Linked DNA regions of Diceros bicornis minor. The main gene of each other region encodes a partner of the protein of the gene in region 2 in a complex. Links are inferred from orthologs where the notes say so. Each region holds a gene or a part of one and is shown on either strand. Other genes may lie near its edges.

The links. Proteins that work in one complex are often made in the same cells at the same time.
Region 1: IQCG (region 2) and EFCAB2 share a complex: the UniProt entries of both Homo sapiens proteins name them as parts of the nexin-dynein regulatory complex. The link is inferred for Diceros bicornis minor from reciprocal best matches to the Homo sapiens genes DRC9 and DRC8.

What each region holds. Positions count from the first base shown.
Region 1 is NC_080740.1:94,593,366-94,601,028, reverse strand, and holds the start of EFCAB2 (dynein regulatory complex protein 8), read left to right. Parts: upstream 1-4,651; 5' UTR 4,652-5,174; coding exon 5,175-5,232; intron 5,233-7,663. UniProt on the Homo sapiens protein: Component of the nexin-dynein regulatory complex (N-DRC), a key regulator of ciliary/flagellar motility which maintains the alignment and integrity of the distal axoneme and regulates microtubule sliding in motile axonemes.
Region 2 is NC_080754.1:26,646,704-26,654,272, reverse strand, and holds the start of IQCG (dynein regulatory complex protein 9), read right to left. Parts: upstream 3,023-7,569; 5' UTR 2,972-3,022; intron 641-2,971; exon of another isoform or gene 214-640; intron 1-213. Other genes in the region: RPL35A (large ribosomal subunit protein eL33), read left to right, coding at 4,175-4,185, 4,406-4,558, 5,727-5,871, 7,193-7,216. UniProt on the Homo sapiens protein: Component of the nexin-dynein regulatory complex (N-DRC), a key regulator of ciliary/flagellar motility which maintains the alignment and integrity of the distal axoneme and regulates microtubule sliding in motile axonemes.

The sequences.
Region 1 (7,663 bases), on a different chromosome or scaffold from region 2:
TCGTTTTGTTGATGGTATCCTTTGCTGTGCAGAAGCTTTTTAGTTTGATGTAGTCCCATTTGTTTATTTTTTCTATTGTTTCTCTTTCCTGGTCAGACATGGTGCTTGAAAATATGTTGCTAAGACCAATATCGAAGAGCGTACTGCATATGTTTTCTTCTAGAAGTTTCATAGTTTCAGGTCTTATATTAAACTCTTTAATCCATTTGGAGTTAATTTTTGTGTATGGTGTAAGGTAAGGGTCTACTTTCATTTTTTCGCATGTGGCTGTCCAGTTTTCCCAACACCATTTGTTGAAGGGACTTTCTTTTCTCCATTGTATGTTCTTGGCTCCTTTGTCAAAGATTAGCTGTCCATAGATGTGTGGGTTTATTTCTGGGCTTCGATTCTATTCCATTGATGTGTGTGTCTGTTTTTGTGCCAGTACCATGCTGTTTTGGTTATTATAGCTTTGTAGTATATTTTGAAATCAGGGAGTGTGCTACCTCCAGCTTTGTTTTTTTTTCTCAGGATTCCTTTAGCTATTCGGGGTCTTTTGTTGTTCCATATAAATTTTAGGATTCTTTGTTCTATTTCTGTGAAAAATGTTGTTGGTACTTTGATAGGGATTGCATTGAATCTATAGATGGCTTTAGGAAGTATGGACATCTTAACTATGTTAATTCTTCCAATCCAAGAGCACAGAATATCTTTCCATTTCTTTGTGCCTTCTTCAATTTCTTTCAGCAATGTTTTATAGTTTTTGGTGTACAGATCTTTCACCTCTTTGGTTAAGTTTATTCCTAGGTATTTTATTCTTTTTGTTGCAATTGTAAATGGGATGGTAGTCTTAATTTCTCTTTCTGCTACTTCATTGTTCGTGTATAGAAATGCAACTGATTTTTGTATGTTGATTTTGTGTCCTGCAACTTTACCGTATTTGTTACTTCTAAAAGTTTTCTGCTGGATTCTTTAGGGTTTTCTGTATATAAAATCACGTCATCTGCAAATAGTGACAGTTTCACTTCTTCCTTTCCAATTTGGATCCCTTTTATTTCTTTCTCTTGCCTGATTGCTCTGGCTAGGACTTCCAGTACTTTGTCAAATAGGAGTGGTGACAGTGAGCATCCTTGTCTGGTTCCTGTTCTTAGAGGGATAGCTTTCAGTTTTTCACCATTGAGGATGATATTGGCTGTGGGTTTGTCATATATGGTCTTTATTATGTTGAGGTACTTTCCTCCTATACCCATTTTATTCAGAGTTTTTATCATAAATGGATGCTGTATCTTGTCAAATGCTTTCTCTGCATCTATTGAGATGATCATGTGATTTTTATTCTTCATTTTATTATTGTGGTGTATCATGTTGATTGATTTGCGAATGTTAAACCATCCCTGCATACCTGGAATAAATCCCACTTGATCATGGTGTATAATCTTTTTAATGTATTGTTGTATGCCATTTGCTAGTATTTTGTTGAGGATTTTTGCCTCGATGTTCATCAGTGATATTGGCCTGTAGTTTGCTTTTTTTGTGTGTTGTCCTTGTCTGGTTTTGGTATCAGGGTAATGTTGGTTTCGTAGAATGAGTTAGGGAGCTTCCCCACCTCCTCAATTTTTGGAAGAATTTGAGAAGGATAGATATTAAGTCTTCTTTGAATGTTTGGTAGAATTCACCAGGGAAGCCGTCTGGTCCTGGACTTTTATTTTTGGGGAGGTTTTTGATTACTGTTTTGATCTCCTTACTGGTGATTGTTCTAGTCAAATTCTGTACGTCTTCTTGATCCAGATTTGGAAGGTTGTATGATTCTAAGAATTTATCCATTTCTTCCAGATTGTCGAATTGGTTGGCATATAGCTTTTCATGGTGTTCTCTTATAATCTTTTGTATTTCTGAGGTGTCTGTTGTAATTTCTCCTATTTCATTTCTAATTTTACTTATTTGTGCCTTCTCTCTTTTTTCTTGGTGAGTCTAGCTAAAGATTTGTCAATTTTGTTGATCTTTTCAAAGAACCAGCTCTCGGTTTTATTAATTTTTTCTATTGTTTTTTTGGTCTCTATTTCATCTATTTCTGCTCTGATTTTTATGATTTCCCTTCTTCTACTTATTTTGGGCTTTGCTTTTTCTTCTTTTTCCAGTTCCTTTAGGTGCATTGTTAGATTGTTTATTTGAGATTTTTCTTGTTTATTGAGATAGGCCTGTATTGCTATAAACTTCCCTCTTAGAACCGCTTTTGCTGTATCCCATAAATTCTGGCATGTCGTATTTTCATTTTCATTTGTCTCCAGGTATTTTTTGATTTCTTCTTTGATTTCTTCATTGACCCAGTCATTGTTCAGTAGCATTTTGTTTAATCTCCACGTATTTGTGGCTTTTCTGATTTTCTTCCTATAGTTGATTTCTAGTTTCATACCGTTGTGGTCAGAAAATATACTTGGTATTATTTCAATCTTCTTAAATTTATGGAGACTTGTTTTGTGACCTAATATGTGATCAATCCTGGAGAATGTTCCATGTGCATTTGAAAAGAACGTGTATTCTTCGGTTTTTGGATGGAATGCTCTGTATATATCTACTAGGTCCATCTGTTCTATTGTGTCATTTAAGGCCAATGTTTCCTTATTGATCTTCTGTTTGGATGATCTATCCATTGGTGTGAGTGGAGTGTTATAGTCCTCTACTATTATTGTGTTGCTGTCTATTTCTGTTTTTATGTCTGTTAATAATTGCTTTATATATTTAGGTGCACCTACATTGGGTGCATTGATATTTACAAGTGTTATATCCTCTTGTTGGATTGTTCCCTTGATCATTATGTAATGCCCTTCTTTGTCTCTTTTTACAGTTTTTGTTTTAAAGTCTATTTTGTCTGATATGAGTACTGCTACCCCAGCTTTCTTTTCATTGCCATTTGCGTGCAGTATCTTTTTCCATCCCTTCACTTTCAGTTTGTGAGTGTCTTTAGGTCTGAAGTGTGTCTCTTGTATGCAGCATATATATGGGTCTTGTTTTTTTATCCATTCAGCCACCCTATGCCTTTTAATTGGAGCATTTAGTCCATTGATGTTTAAAGTAGCTATTGATAAGTATGTACTTACTGCCATTTTTTAACTTTTTTTTTCTCCGTGTTTTAGTAGTCCTTCTCTGTTCCTTTCTTCTTCTATACAGAATTGATGGTCTCTTTATTTTCACCTCTGTCTGAAAGCTCTACTCTTTAACTCCCCTCCTCCCTCCTTTTATGTTTTTGATATCATATCTAGCCTCTTTTTTGTGCATTTGTATCCATTACATTTTTACTATGGAAATAGATAATTTTTCCTATTTGTGGTCTTCTCTTTTTCCCTTAAATCAGTCTCTTTAACATTTCTTGTAGCACTGGTTTCTTGGTAACAAACTCCTTTAATTTTTGCTTGTCTGGGAAATTTTTGATCTCTCCTTCCATTTTGAATGATAACCTTGCTGCGTAGAGTATTCTTGGCTGTAAGTTTTTTCCTTTTAGCACTTTAAATATATCGTGCTACTCTCTTCTAGCCTGTAAGGTTTCTGCTGAGAAGTCAGCTGATAGCCTTATGGGGTTTCCTTTGTATGTAACTTAACTTTCTCTTGCGGCTTTTAGGATTCTCTCTTTATCTTTAATTCTGGAAATTTGATTATGATGTGTCTTGGTGTGGGCCTCTTTGAGTTTATCTTGTTTGGGGCTCTCTGTGCTTCCTGTACCTGGATGTCTGTTTTCTTCCTTAGGTTAGGGAAGTTTTCATCTTGAAATAGATTCTCTGTCCCTTTGTCTCACTCTTCTCCTTCCAGGACACCTATAACACGGGTGTTAGTGTGCTTGATGTTGTCCCAGATGTCCCTTAGACTGTCCTCACTCTTTTTAATTCTTTTCTCTTTTACCTGTTCAGCTTGGGTAATTTCTTCTAGTCTTTTGTCCAGCTCACAGATCTGTTCTTCTGTATCCTCTACTCTGCTTTTGAGTCCCTCTAGTGAATTTTTTATTTCCAGTATTGTATTCTTCATTTCTGATTGGTTCTTTTTTATATCTTCCATTTCTTTGTTGACATTCTCACTGAGTTCATCCATTCTTCTCCCCAGATCAGTGAGCATCCTTGACACTCTTTGTTTGAACTCTCTGTCAGGTAGATTGCTCATTTCAGTTTCACTTATTTCCTTTTCTGGGCTTTTGTCCTGTTCCCTTACTTGGAATGTATTCCTTTGCCTCCTCATTTTGCCTCTTTCCCTGTGCTTATGTCTATCTATTAGGTAGGTCAGCTATGTCTCCTGCTCTTGGATAGGTGACCTTATGTAAGTGATGGCTTAGGAGGCCTGCAGTGTGCTTCCCTCAGTTCTCAATGTTCCAGGGGTGATCCCTCTGTGGGCTATGTGTGTCCTTCTGTTGTGGCCTGTTTGCTCTCCCTGTAGGCACCCAGGGAGGCCGAGTTATGCTCCTGGCCAGCTGTTGTAATGCTTAGCTGCTTGTAGTGTTGTGGACCTTTCAGTCTCTTTATCAGGTGTGGGAAGCCCCAGCACAGTTGGCTGCAAGTTCTAATACCACATTTGTGTTGCAGTATTTCTTTTAAGTGAGTAGGCCCCCAGCATGCCAGGTTGTTAGGCTCAGGGCCTTACACTTGCTATAAGCCTCCAGCCTTTAGGTCTCTTGTCTGCTCTCTGAGGATTGCAGCTCGGTGGGGCTGGCCTCAGGCACAGGAGCACCCAATTGTTTCAGGCTTTGGAAGGTGGGGCAAACCCCCTATGTGGGTCTTTGAGAGGCACAAGTCTTCTGTAGCTGACAAGCCCTGCCGCCCACAGGTCCACACACACGGTCAACACAGTCCTGCCCCTTGTGCGTGCCCCAACCTCCTGAAGCTGACCCAGTCTCTCCACTGTGGGAGCCCCACACACTCCACCACTGCCCCACTCTCTCCACCCATTCCTTGTGCGCGTCCTGCCCCACTGAAGTCAGCTCAGTTGCCAGGCAGCAGAGAGTCCAGTCACCAATCTATGCAGGCCCACAAGTTGCCTGAGGGCTTGTTGTTGGGTGGGGCCAGTCTCTAGGGTGCGCTGCCTGCCCTGGCTTAGCTGGATTAAATTGGTGCTCTAGGGGGTGGGGTAGACCCTGGGCTAGCAGGCCTCAGGGAGAACTCCAATGGTGTCTGTGTCAGCATGCCCATACCAGGCCACAACAATGGCCGCCGCCAATGTCCCAGTCCCTGGAGAGGTCTCACCCCTCACCGAGATGCACTCAGGGCCTATTAGGTGAGTCTCTTTTCACCACAGCACTGTGCACCTTTCTTTCTGGTGATTTTAGATTGCTTTCTGAAACGAGTGAGTTTGTGCGTGGGCCCTTTAAGAGCCAGTTTTAATTTCTTTGTGAACCAGCTTTTCTGGGGGTACTCCCCAAGGTTTCAGTAGCAGGCAAAGTCAGATATTATGCCACTCATCTCGATTGTGCTGGGTCCACAAAATGCCTACAGCGGGGGCGCTCCCCGGCTCAGGGTCCCACTCCTCCAGGGAGGCTGCGTACCTGTGGGCTGCTCCCAGGCAGCCGTGAAGCGCTGCGGCTTCTGAAGGCGGCGTTTTTCCTCTCCAGAATGGAGTTTCTGCCTCTTCCACCTCAATTAGGATTGTCCGTTGTTGCACGAGTTCCTCTTATCCAGTTTTCAGTTCTGTCTCGTGTAGTTTTTCCATGAGTAGTTGTAAATTGGCTGTGTCTATGGGAGGAAGTGAGTTCGGAGTCTGTCTACGCCGCCATCTTGACTTCCTCCTATATTGCCCTTTCTAATGGAGTTCTATAATTCTTCTAGAATTGCCACATTTTAAAAAAATCTTAGTTCTCTCTCTGCTCTTCTACCTGCGTCATTTCTAGGTTTCCATCTTTGAGCTCACTAATTTTTTCTTACATATGGTGCTCTGTTTCCAATGCTTTCTAATGCATTCTTCATCTCATTTATTGTGTTGTTCATCTCCAGAATTTGTTTGGGTGTTTTTTTAATGTTTCAATCTCTTTGGTAAACTATTCCTTCTGTTTATTGATTTTATTGCTGAGCTCATTGAACTGCCTTTCTGAGTTTTCTTGTAGCTCATTGAGTTTCTTCATGACAGCTATTTTGAATTTTTTATCAGTTAGATCACAATCTTCCTTGACTTTATGTTTGGTTTCTGGAGAATTGTTATTTTCTTTTTGTGATGCCATGTTACCATGGCTTTTCATGATGCTTGCTGAGTTATGCCTCTGCTGGTGCATTTTTCGTAGCAAACGCTTTTCTATTTAGGTATAGCTTGTTTGTTTTGATTCAAACTTTTTAACTAGTTGGAGATTAGAAGCCTCTCTTTTGTTTTTCAGTAAGTGGCTCTATAGCGCTAGTTTTTGGTTTCTCTTACCTGAGCTGCCTCAGGCTTTATTTGAGGATCTGCACAATTCACACTCCACTGCCTCTCTCCAGGGTGTCAGTACTCTTGTTGTCACTGCCTGTGCCTCTGAGGTCACTGATGCCTTGCTGTTGCTGGTGTCCCTGCGGTCAGTTGCTGGCTTCGCTGCTGGGGTACAGGGATGGCTGACACCTCTGCCACATCCAGGATCGCCTGGGTCAGAAGCTTCAATGCCATGGTCAGGGGAGGGTGAGGGTAAGGAGGGAGCTGGGTTTGCAGGGCATCACCTCTGCTGTTGTCGGTTATGTTGTGGCCGCAGGTGCCACTGCGGTTGGGATGTTGGAGTTGTGTGCATGCCTCCACTGCTGCTGTGTGGCTTTCAACCTTGGCTGGGGGTCCAGGATTATAGGGCTCTGCCCCTGCTGCTGCTCTGTCCCTGGTGGCTATAGGTGCCACCGTGCCTGGCTGGCCAGGGTCATATGTGTGACTCCACTGCTACCCTCCATGTTCTTTAGGGCTGGGGGTGGCTGGCTCAGCCACTGTGGCCAGAGGTCCAGGGTCCTGGGCACCACCTCTGCTGTTCCTCCATTTTGCCTCCTTTATGTGCTCCAGTCTACCCACCGTCATATGTACTGATGTGTGGATCTCTCCATCATCCTGGCGTGTTGGGCAATGTAGCTTTTGTTGGGTTATGGATATTTTACTCGCTGTAGATTGAAGGAGAGAGACAAAGGGATCCTCTCATGCTGCCATGATGATGGTGTCTCCCTAGGACTTACTGTTTTTGTTTGTATTAAAATATTCTTTGTTACTTTGCATGCTTTGATAACATTACTTGGTCAAGTGTCTCCAATTAATCAATCCTAGATGGAAGAGGTTTTATAAGTTTTACTGTTGTTCATTTGTTTCCCTGTATTGTGCTATTTCTCTCAAAACCTAACATTTGGAAATCTAAACTGAAAAACAGAAATTACAGATTCATATTACTTTTTAAAAGGGAAATGTTGATAGTCCAGAGTATAGTATGGAATAGTAGAGAAGGTGAGCTTTAGAGTAAGGTTCAAATTTGAATTCCAGCTTCCCAAAGCTCTATCTGATCTTAGCTGAGATGCTAAACCTAAGGAGCCTCAGGTTTCTGAAATGTAAAATGGGAATAATTATACCCATTTCATAATATTGTTATAACGGAGATGTGTCTTCTTGTTCATCTGTATATCCCCATCATGTACCACAGTGCCTGGCTAAAGGAATGCTGAATAAATAGGAAGGAAAGTGCTCGGTGCATTCTAGGGAATAAGTCACTATTAGTATGTGTGTG
Region 2 (7,569 bases):
AATTCAAGCATATAAAACATAATCTTTACGTAAACTGAAAAAAAGATACTCCAAACTAGCCAAATTTTCTGTCTTAGGAGTCTTAGGAGGAAGTAGCGCGGTGTTAAGAAGATTTTGTTCTCTTGCTGTGTTGTCGTTTCTTTATTTTTGCATTTTTTAGGCTTGGGGCATAGGTAAATGTGCTTCCCAGAGGTAAGACAGGGCAATGCTTACGCAGTATCCAGTGCTTTCATGCTGTTCTGGCTTCTCGTTCCTCAATGCTAGAAACCCAGGGGTCATTCCTGCTTCCTCCTTCATCTTGATCAGCATTCCCCCAATCCAAACCATCACCAAGTCCTGTGGACCTGACCTTCTATTTCCATATCCCCCAACACCATGATGGACTTGCTGTTGTTTCGTGCTTGAACTACTCTAACAGGCTCCAAATTGGAGGTGATCTTTTAAAAATGAAAATCTGATCTGGCGTGGTGTAGTGGTTAAGTTCGCTTGCTCTGCTTTGGTGGCCAGGGGTTCGCAGGCCCGGATCCCAGGCGCAGACCTACACACCGCTCATCAAGCCATGCTATGGAGGTGTCCCACATACAAAATGGAGGAAGACTGGCACAGACATTAGCTCAGGGCCAATCTTCCTCACCAAAAAAAAAAATTAAAAAATAAAAAATAAATGAAAGACTGATCTTTTAAAATTGAAAATCTGATCATGTCTCTCCTTAGAACCCTTAAATGGTTTCCCCTTGCCTTAGGACAAAAACTAAAATTCTGAACATGGCCCATAAGGCCTACATGATCTGGCCCCCTCTGTTTCTCTCCAGATCCCTCTGGCACTGCCTTTTTCTTGCTCTCATGGCTCCAGCCTCAATAGGCTTCTTTCACTTCTTCTATGGAACCATGTTCCCTTCCAACTCAGGGTCTTTGCTTACACTATTCCTTCAACGTGAACCACTCTTCCCCTCACCTTTTCACCTTGTAAAGTCCCACTGATCTATTAGGTACCAGATTAAATCAGTGGCATTTTGCAGGTATCTGCCATTTGCCCCTCTAGGTCCAATCTCCACCATTTTCTGTGCCCTGAGAGACTGACCCAAATGGAGTGCACCAACGGGAGATTCCGGAAAGAGGTACAAAGTGTAGGAGAGTGAGGATAGGTATTTATTCTCCCAGCTCCCTCCCTGTCAGATCACCAATGGTCGGCTATATTTCTCTATCAAAGACCATGGCTCCCATCAGGCAATCCTCTCCATCTTGCTGTCTCTTGGGGACTCAGGAAACTTCTTCTTCCACATGTTTCTGGAGACTGCATCATCTCTCATAGTTTCACTCCTGCCTACACCTTTGTAAGCAGACTCTTTAGTAAATTTTCATCTCTGCCAACTGTTTCCTTCCAGGCCAACACTGACTGATACAATGACCTACAATGGCACACATACATTTTTACATATAGCTTATATATAAATATACATACATACAAATAACTGAAACAAAAGTTTCATGAAACAACTTACCCTTAACATGTGTGATACATTCTGATATTTTCAGTTCTAGCATATTTTACTTAAAAAATATTATAATCATGATCTACTAATGGGCCATCACCTGCAGTTTGTAAAATGCCTTAAATGACACTTCTGCAAGTGACATTTTCCTGACTCATCAGGCTGGATCAGGATTCCTCTGTTCAAGCACTCATTGCACTCTTATTTTTCAACAGCTCTCTTCACAATTTGTAATGTTTATGTCAGTTTCCCCCACTAGACTGTTAAGTTCCATGACAGCTGGAATCCTGATAATGATGCTCACTATTGTATCCTAAGTTTCAGGCATTGTGTTCAATAAGTATTTGTCGAATGAATGAATGAACAAAGGAATGAAACTCACACTTAATGTGTTATTCTTCTCAGGAGTACTTACACTTGGATTTCTAGCACATTTAACAGTGGGATTTCTAGTACATCTCTAATAGTGGGATTTCTAGCATATTTCTGGGACAGAGAAAATTGGATAGGGGATAGGGCTCTAAGGTAGATAATCTCTATCCTGATGCACTTAAAAGAGGATCTGATTTTAAATATGATTTATATACATCTATTCCACAAAACTTTGGAGTCATCCTTTACTCTTTCCTCTCTCATTCCTTACCCATCAGCAAATCCTGTCAGCATTACACTTAAAATATATTCAGAATTTCAGTACTCATCACCCCTCTCTACATGCCATAATCTCTCATCAGGATCATTATAATAGCCTTCTAATTGGTCTCCCTGCTGTTGGCCTTGCTTCCCTTCAGTCTCAACACAGTGACTCAGTCACTCCTCTGTACAGAACCCTCAAATGGCTTCTCGTCTCAGAGTAAAAGCCTCCCTTACAGTGGCCTCCCTGCTTAATTTTTCTCCATTGAGAAAATTTGTCTCACATCTCCTTCCAATGTGCCATTTACTTGCTTATTGTCTTGCTCCCCCTACTAAGATGTAAGCTCTATGAGGGCAGAGATTTCTGTTGTTTTGTTTACTGCAGCGTCCTCCGAGCCAGGAACAAAGATGGTACATGGCAGTCATTCAATAAACTATTTGTTGAAAAAATGAATGAATCCAAAGGGTAACCCAAATAAATATGCAATAATTAGGAAACGTAAATCTCTGATGTCTACTGATCTATCTTATTCTAGTCTACAAGTACTTACTGAAGACCTACTACGTGTGGGCACGGTGCTGGGGGCCCCGAGAGTTTGCCTGGCAGCTGAATGAGTTATCTTTAAAAGGCAGTAAAGTCTTTTCAGGGCAGTCCTCCTCACCATCGGGGGCAAAACGAAGGATGGAGGTAAGAACTTAAGTCATTTCTTGGAAGAGATAAAGGAGTAGGAGGAAAGGAGTAAGAAAAAAAAAAAAAGGTAAAGAAAAGGAACAGCTCCTCCTGCCTTCGTGCTCTCGGCCTTTCTCTTCCAGGCTGGGATCCGAGAATCTCCGTTGGCCTTTACCTGTGTGGTCAGAGGGAAAGATACCCCCATGTTGGCGAATCAAATCTGGGGTACTCGAGGCCGAGGGGGGGCCGCCACTCTGGCTTCACTTACCCACCTACAGAACCCGACGCACAGGAACCAAACTAAGGTGTTTCTATGGCAACGATCACCTTTTCTTATCCTTTAGCTGTCTAGCACTTTGCCTTCCTCTGTTCCGAAGTAATACATGTTGCAGCTTACAAAGATAAAAGGACTTAGGGAAATAATTTTAAAAGTGCTCTTTAACATTGCTTGTTTCAGTCAGAAGACGATTTCCGAGGCCTTCCCCCCCCCCCCACCCCCGGCGGTCGCGGAAGATGCCTAAACTGGGGGCGGACCCATGTTTATCCCACAAGGCCGCGCGACGGGGCCTCCACTTTCTTTTTCCGCCATCTTGGAGGCTGTGGAGGTGAGGGCGTCTGCTGTTGCTGAACTTTGGGGGAAAATAACTGGGATGGGCTCAACTTTATGCCTGAGCGAGGTACTGCTGCGGCTCGGGGGCTCTGCCAGTCAGTGATTTCTGTGGATTCCAGCAACAGAGAGGACAGGATGGAGGAGATGTGGGGCTGATGGTGCTGGTCTCCTGACGCCCGGAGAACGGGTGCTCCGGTAATCGGAGTTGCTTCCTGGACCCTAGCGGAGTGAAGTAGATGCACTTTGTCCGTCTAGCTCGTTTTTTGAGGCTGTGACTCCTTTAGGCTGGGTTCTGTTTCCATTTGCTCCTACTCCAAGCTTGTCTTACTTGTCTACAGTCTCTCTCCTCAGGTTTATTTTCCCATTCAGTGCTTAAAAGTCTTGTTTTCTGCGTGCTTCTGTGACTCCTTGGCCTTCATTTTTTTCTACTGATCGTGGCATGAATTTTCTTAGGGCTTCCTTTTGGAGTTTGTAAGAGTTATTTCTTTTAGTGTCGGGTGTTGACAATCATTTTTGTCTCCGTTTTGGAGTTTGCCTAGGTATCATGCATTCTCTGAGGTTGGGGTGTCTTGCCATACTGTGCTTCGTGTAGATGTGATGGCTTAATTATATTTCCCCATAGTCTTAACGTGACATGCTGATCAAAAAGCGATTTGCCTGACAGGTTTAAGAAACGGGAGGGACTAGGTGGGAAACGGGCGCTGCAAGATTTTAAACTGATTGTTTGTTTTAAGGCCTGCCGGAGACAGGACTTCTAAAACGACGAGTATGTCTGGAAGGTACGCGTTTTAAATATAATTGCTTTGTACTTGTAGTTGTTTTTTGTTTATTGGGTATGAACCTAAATGTAAACTTAAAACTAGTGGGGAAAAAATTCGATGTTTGGTATAGATAACTTTTGGGTAGGTGTCGTTACAAGTCAAATCATACTGGTGGTTTGTTGAAGTTAAACGAGATCTTTTAACAGCTTATGGTTAATATATGTCTTGTGTGTCGTAGGCTGTGGTCGAAGGCCATTTTTGCTGGCTATAAGCGGGGTCTCCGGAACCAGAGGGAGCACACAGCCCTTCTTAAAATTGAAGGTGTTTATGCTCGAGATGAAACTGAATTCTATCTGGGCAAGAGATGTGCTTACGTGTACAAAGCAAAGAAGTAAGTTTATAGTATTGTTATGCTTTTTGATTTTTGTCTCATTTTCATTTTGAAAGAAGAATAAACAAAAGATGTTGGTAAAGTGGTTGGTACTGTTGTAGCTTCTACTTTGGGTCTTGAAGGAACCTGATGGTAGGTTTTAGAAGGATGTAACTTTTGTGGGTGGTGGTGGATTTAGGTATCTTCTGCGCTTAGAAAAATTCCAGCTGTTAATTGTTTCAAGGACGGAGCCAAGTTCTCATATTATGATCCTAAGTTTTTATAGGGCACTTTCCATGTGCCTTAATTCATTTTGTTGATTCCTTGAAATTATGTTATATATACATGGTTAAACATGTTCTCTCTCTAGAGCATTGGTTCTTAATCCTGGGTTCTTAAACCCATTCCAGACCAATTAAAATCTCTAGGGACAGGCTTTCATCTTTGCCCTGCCTTTCCTCCTGCAAGCAGAGTGAGCCTTGAAAATTATAAGTCAGATCATCTGTATATTGCTCAAACTCCTCCCAACTGTTAGCCATCTCATTTAGTAAAAGCCAAAGTCGTTAAGGAGCCCCTAAGACCCTGGGCATTCAGGGCTCCCTGTTTCTACTCTTAACCCAGCTAGGGTGATCAGCTAGGATTCACCCTTGGGGTCTTCTGCCTTTCCACAAGCCAGGGACACAACCTCCTCAGGTTTTTAACACAGGCTGTTGCCTTATCTTCTAGTCTTTGTTCCAGTGTTAGCTTCTCAATGAGGACTTCTCTGGCTGTTTAAAATTGCAAATTCCTTCCTCTCCCTGGACACAAACATTCTCACGCTTCTTGTCCCACTTTGCTTTTTTCCCCCCAATATTGTAGCTATTACCATGTGACATTGTATATATTTACTGATTTATTACTTGATTATTCTCTGGAAGAGGTTTATGTTTTGTAAATGGCTGTGTTTTACAAAATTACAAAAAATTACATTTATAAGTGTTTGGCATACAGTAGGTACTCAAAGATTTGTTGAATAAATTATGCCCCAGATTCCCCCCATTCCCTACTCCTCCTGCCCCCCCCACCCCCCATGACTAAGTGGTTAACTAGGGTTGAGAGCCACTGGTCTAGAGATCACCTTGAATTTCTATCACATTGTTGCCTGGGTTCTCATGCTTTTTTTTTTTTTTTAATCCCCTTTTAAAATAAGCAACACAGTGACTCCTGGTGGCAAACCTAACAAAACCAGAGTAATCTGGGGAAAGGTAACTCGTGCTCATGGAAACAGTGGCATGGTTCGTGCCAAATTCCGAAGCAACCTTCCTGCTAAGGCGATTGGACACAGAATCCGTGTGGTAAGTACAGTTATTAGCAGTATGGCACTCTGTTGAGTCAAACTAAGCTCAAGGGGTTGGGCTTTCACTCTAAGAACTATTGTGATTATAAAACATCGCCTGTAGGTTATGCTGCAAAATTAGTGGCTACTTCAGCTTTTTGGCATTAGAAAGAAAGTGAAGGCAAAGTATTCAAATGGATTGTGCCTAGATTTCAGATTTTGTTAAAGCTGCTTCGGGGGGGGGGGGGGGGGGATCATTTAAATGAACAGTTTTCTGGCAAAGATATTGGGCACTGAAGTATTTTCTAGAAAATAAAAATTCAACATACGTTTTCCTGGCATAATTCTTAATATTTTCCTATTGCTTAATCATGACAGTCTTGTTAAAATAGGTGTTATTGGGGGCCGACCCCGTGGCTTAGCAGTTGAGCGCGCACGCTCCGCTACTGGCCGCCTGGGTTCGGATCCCAGGCGCGCACTAACGCACCGCTTGTCCGGCCATGCTGAGGCCGTGTCCCACATACAGCAACTAGAAGGATGTGCAACTATGACATACAACTATCTACTGGGGCTTTGGAGAGAAAAAGGGAGAAAAAAAAAAAACGAGGATTGGCATGGATGTTAGGGCTGATCTTCATTACAAAAAAAATAAATTTATAATATAGGTGTTATTAGCCTTATTTTATGGAAGAAAACTGATGCTCATGTTTCTCAGTCCCAGGACTTTGGCCCAAGTCTTCGACTCCAGATCCTGTGATTTTCTAAAATAGCTCCTGTTTTCTTTAGTCAGGATTCATTTAGAGTAGGCATGGCCGTATTCTTGAGGTCACAGGGTGCTTTTGAACCCTGCTGAGCAGTTGAGATTTCTCATCAGAGGAGGTTTTTACTCTGTAGGAGAAGCAAAATTAAATGGACTTGCACTGCTCCCAGTACTTGTTCCTAATCAAAGCGGGTTTACCTAGAGACTGAGGCTATAAAAACTCAATTCCCTCCCCACCAGGATAAAAGTTGTCATTGGACACCTTTCAGAAATGAGTAATGGCTACCAAAGGGGAAGGGAGGAGGGTGAAATGGGTGATTCACACATGTGTATGGTGATGGATGGTAATTAGTCTTTGGGTGGCGAATATGATATAATCTACAGAGAAATTGAAATATAATGATGCACAGCAGAAGTTTATATAATGTAATAAACCAATGTTACCTCAATAAAAATAAAAAATCTTAAAAGAGTAATGGGACAACGGAAGGAGATTTATCCATATTGTAGTAATTGATAACATTTGTAAATTTGTATGTAACATGCACCTAATGACATTGTGTTCTTTTTCCCCCCCCAGATGCTGTACCCTTCAAGGATTTAAACTTATTGAAAAGTAAATAAATAAAACTGGATTTGTTCCCTTGTATTTTTATTAAATGGCTTAAAAATCTCTTTGCCATAAAATTTAGTTGCTATGTGCTCAAATTTATCAGGCATTTTCAGAGTATAAGGAAGCCAGAGAGCTACATGTAATGGCAATTACAGACATTAGACAATAGGAGGATAGGATGTAAGTATTTTAATAAGGCCTTAGGTGGTGGGAGACAGGGACAAGTAAGCTTTGGGGACAGTGGAAAGGAGTATCTTGGAAGGCTTATAGTGATGGAGCACTTGAACCTAGCCTCAGAAAAGCTTTTGGACAAATGGAGAAACAGCATGTTCCAGGAAGGGCAG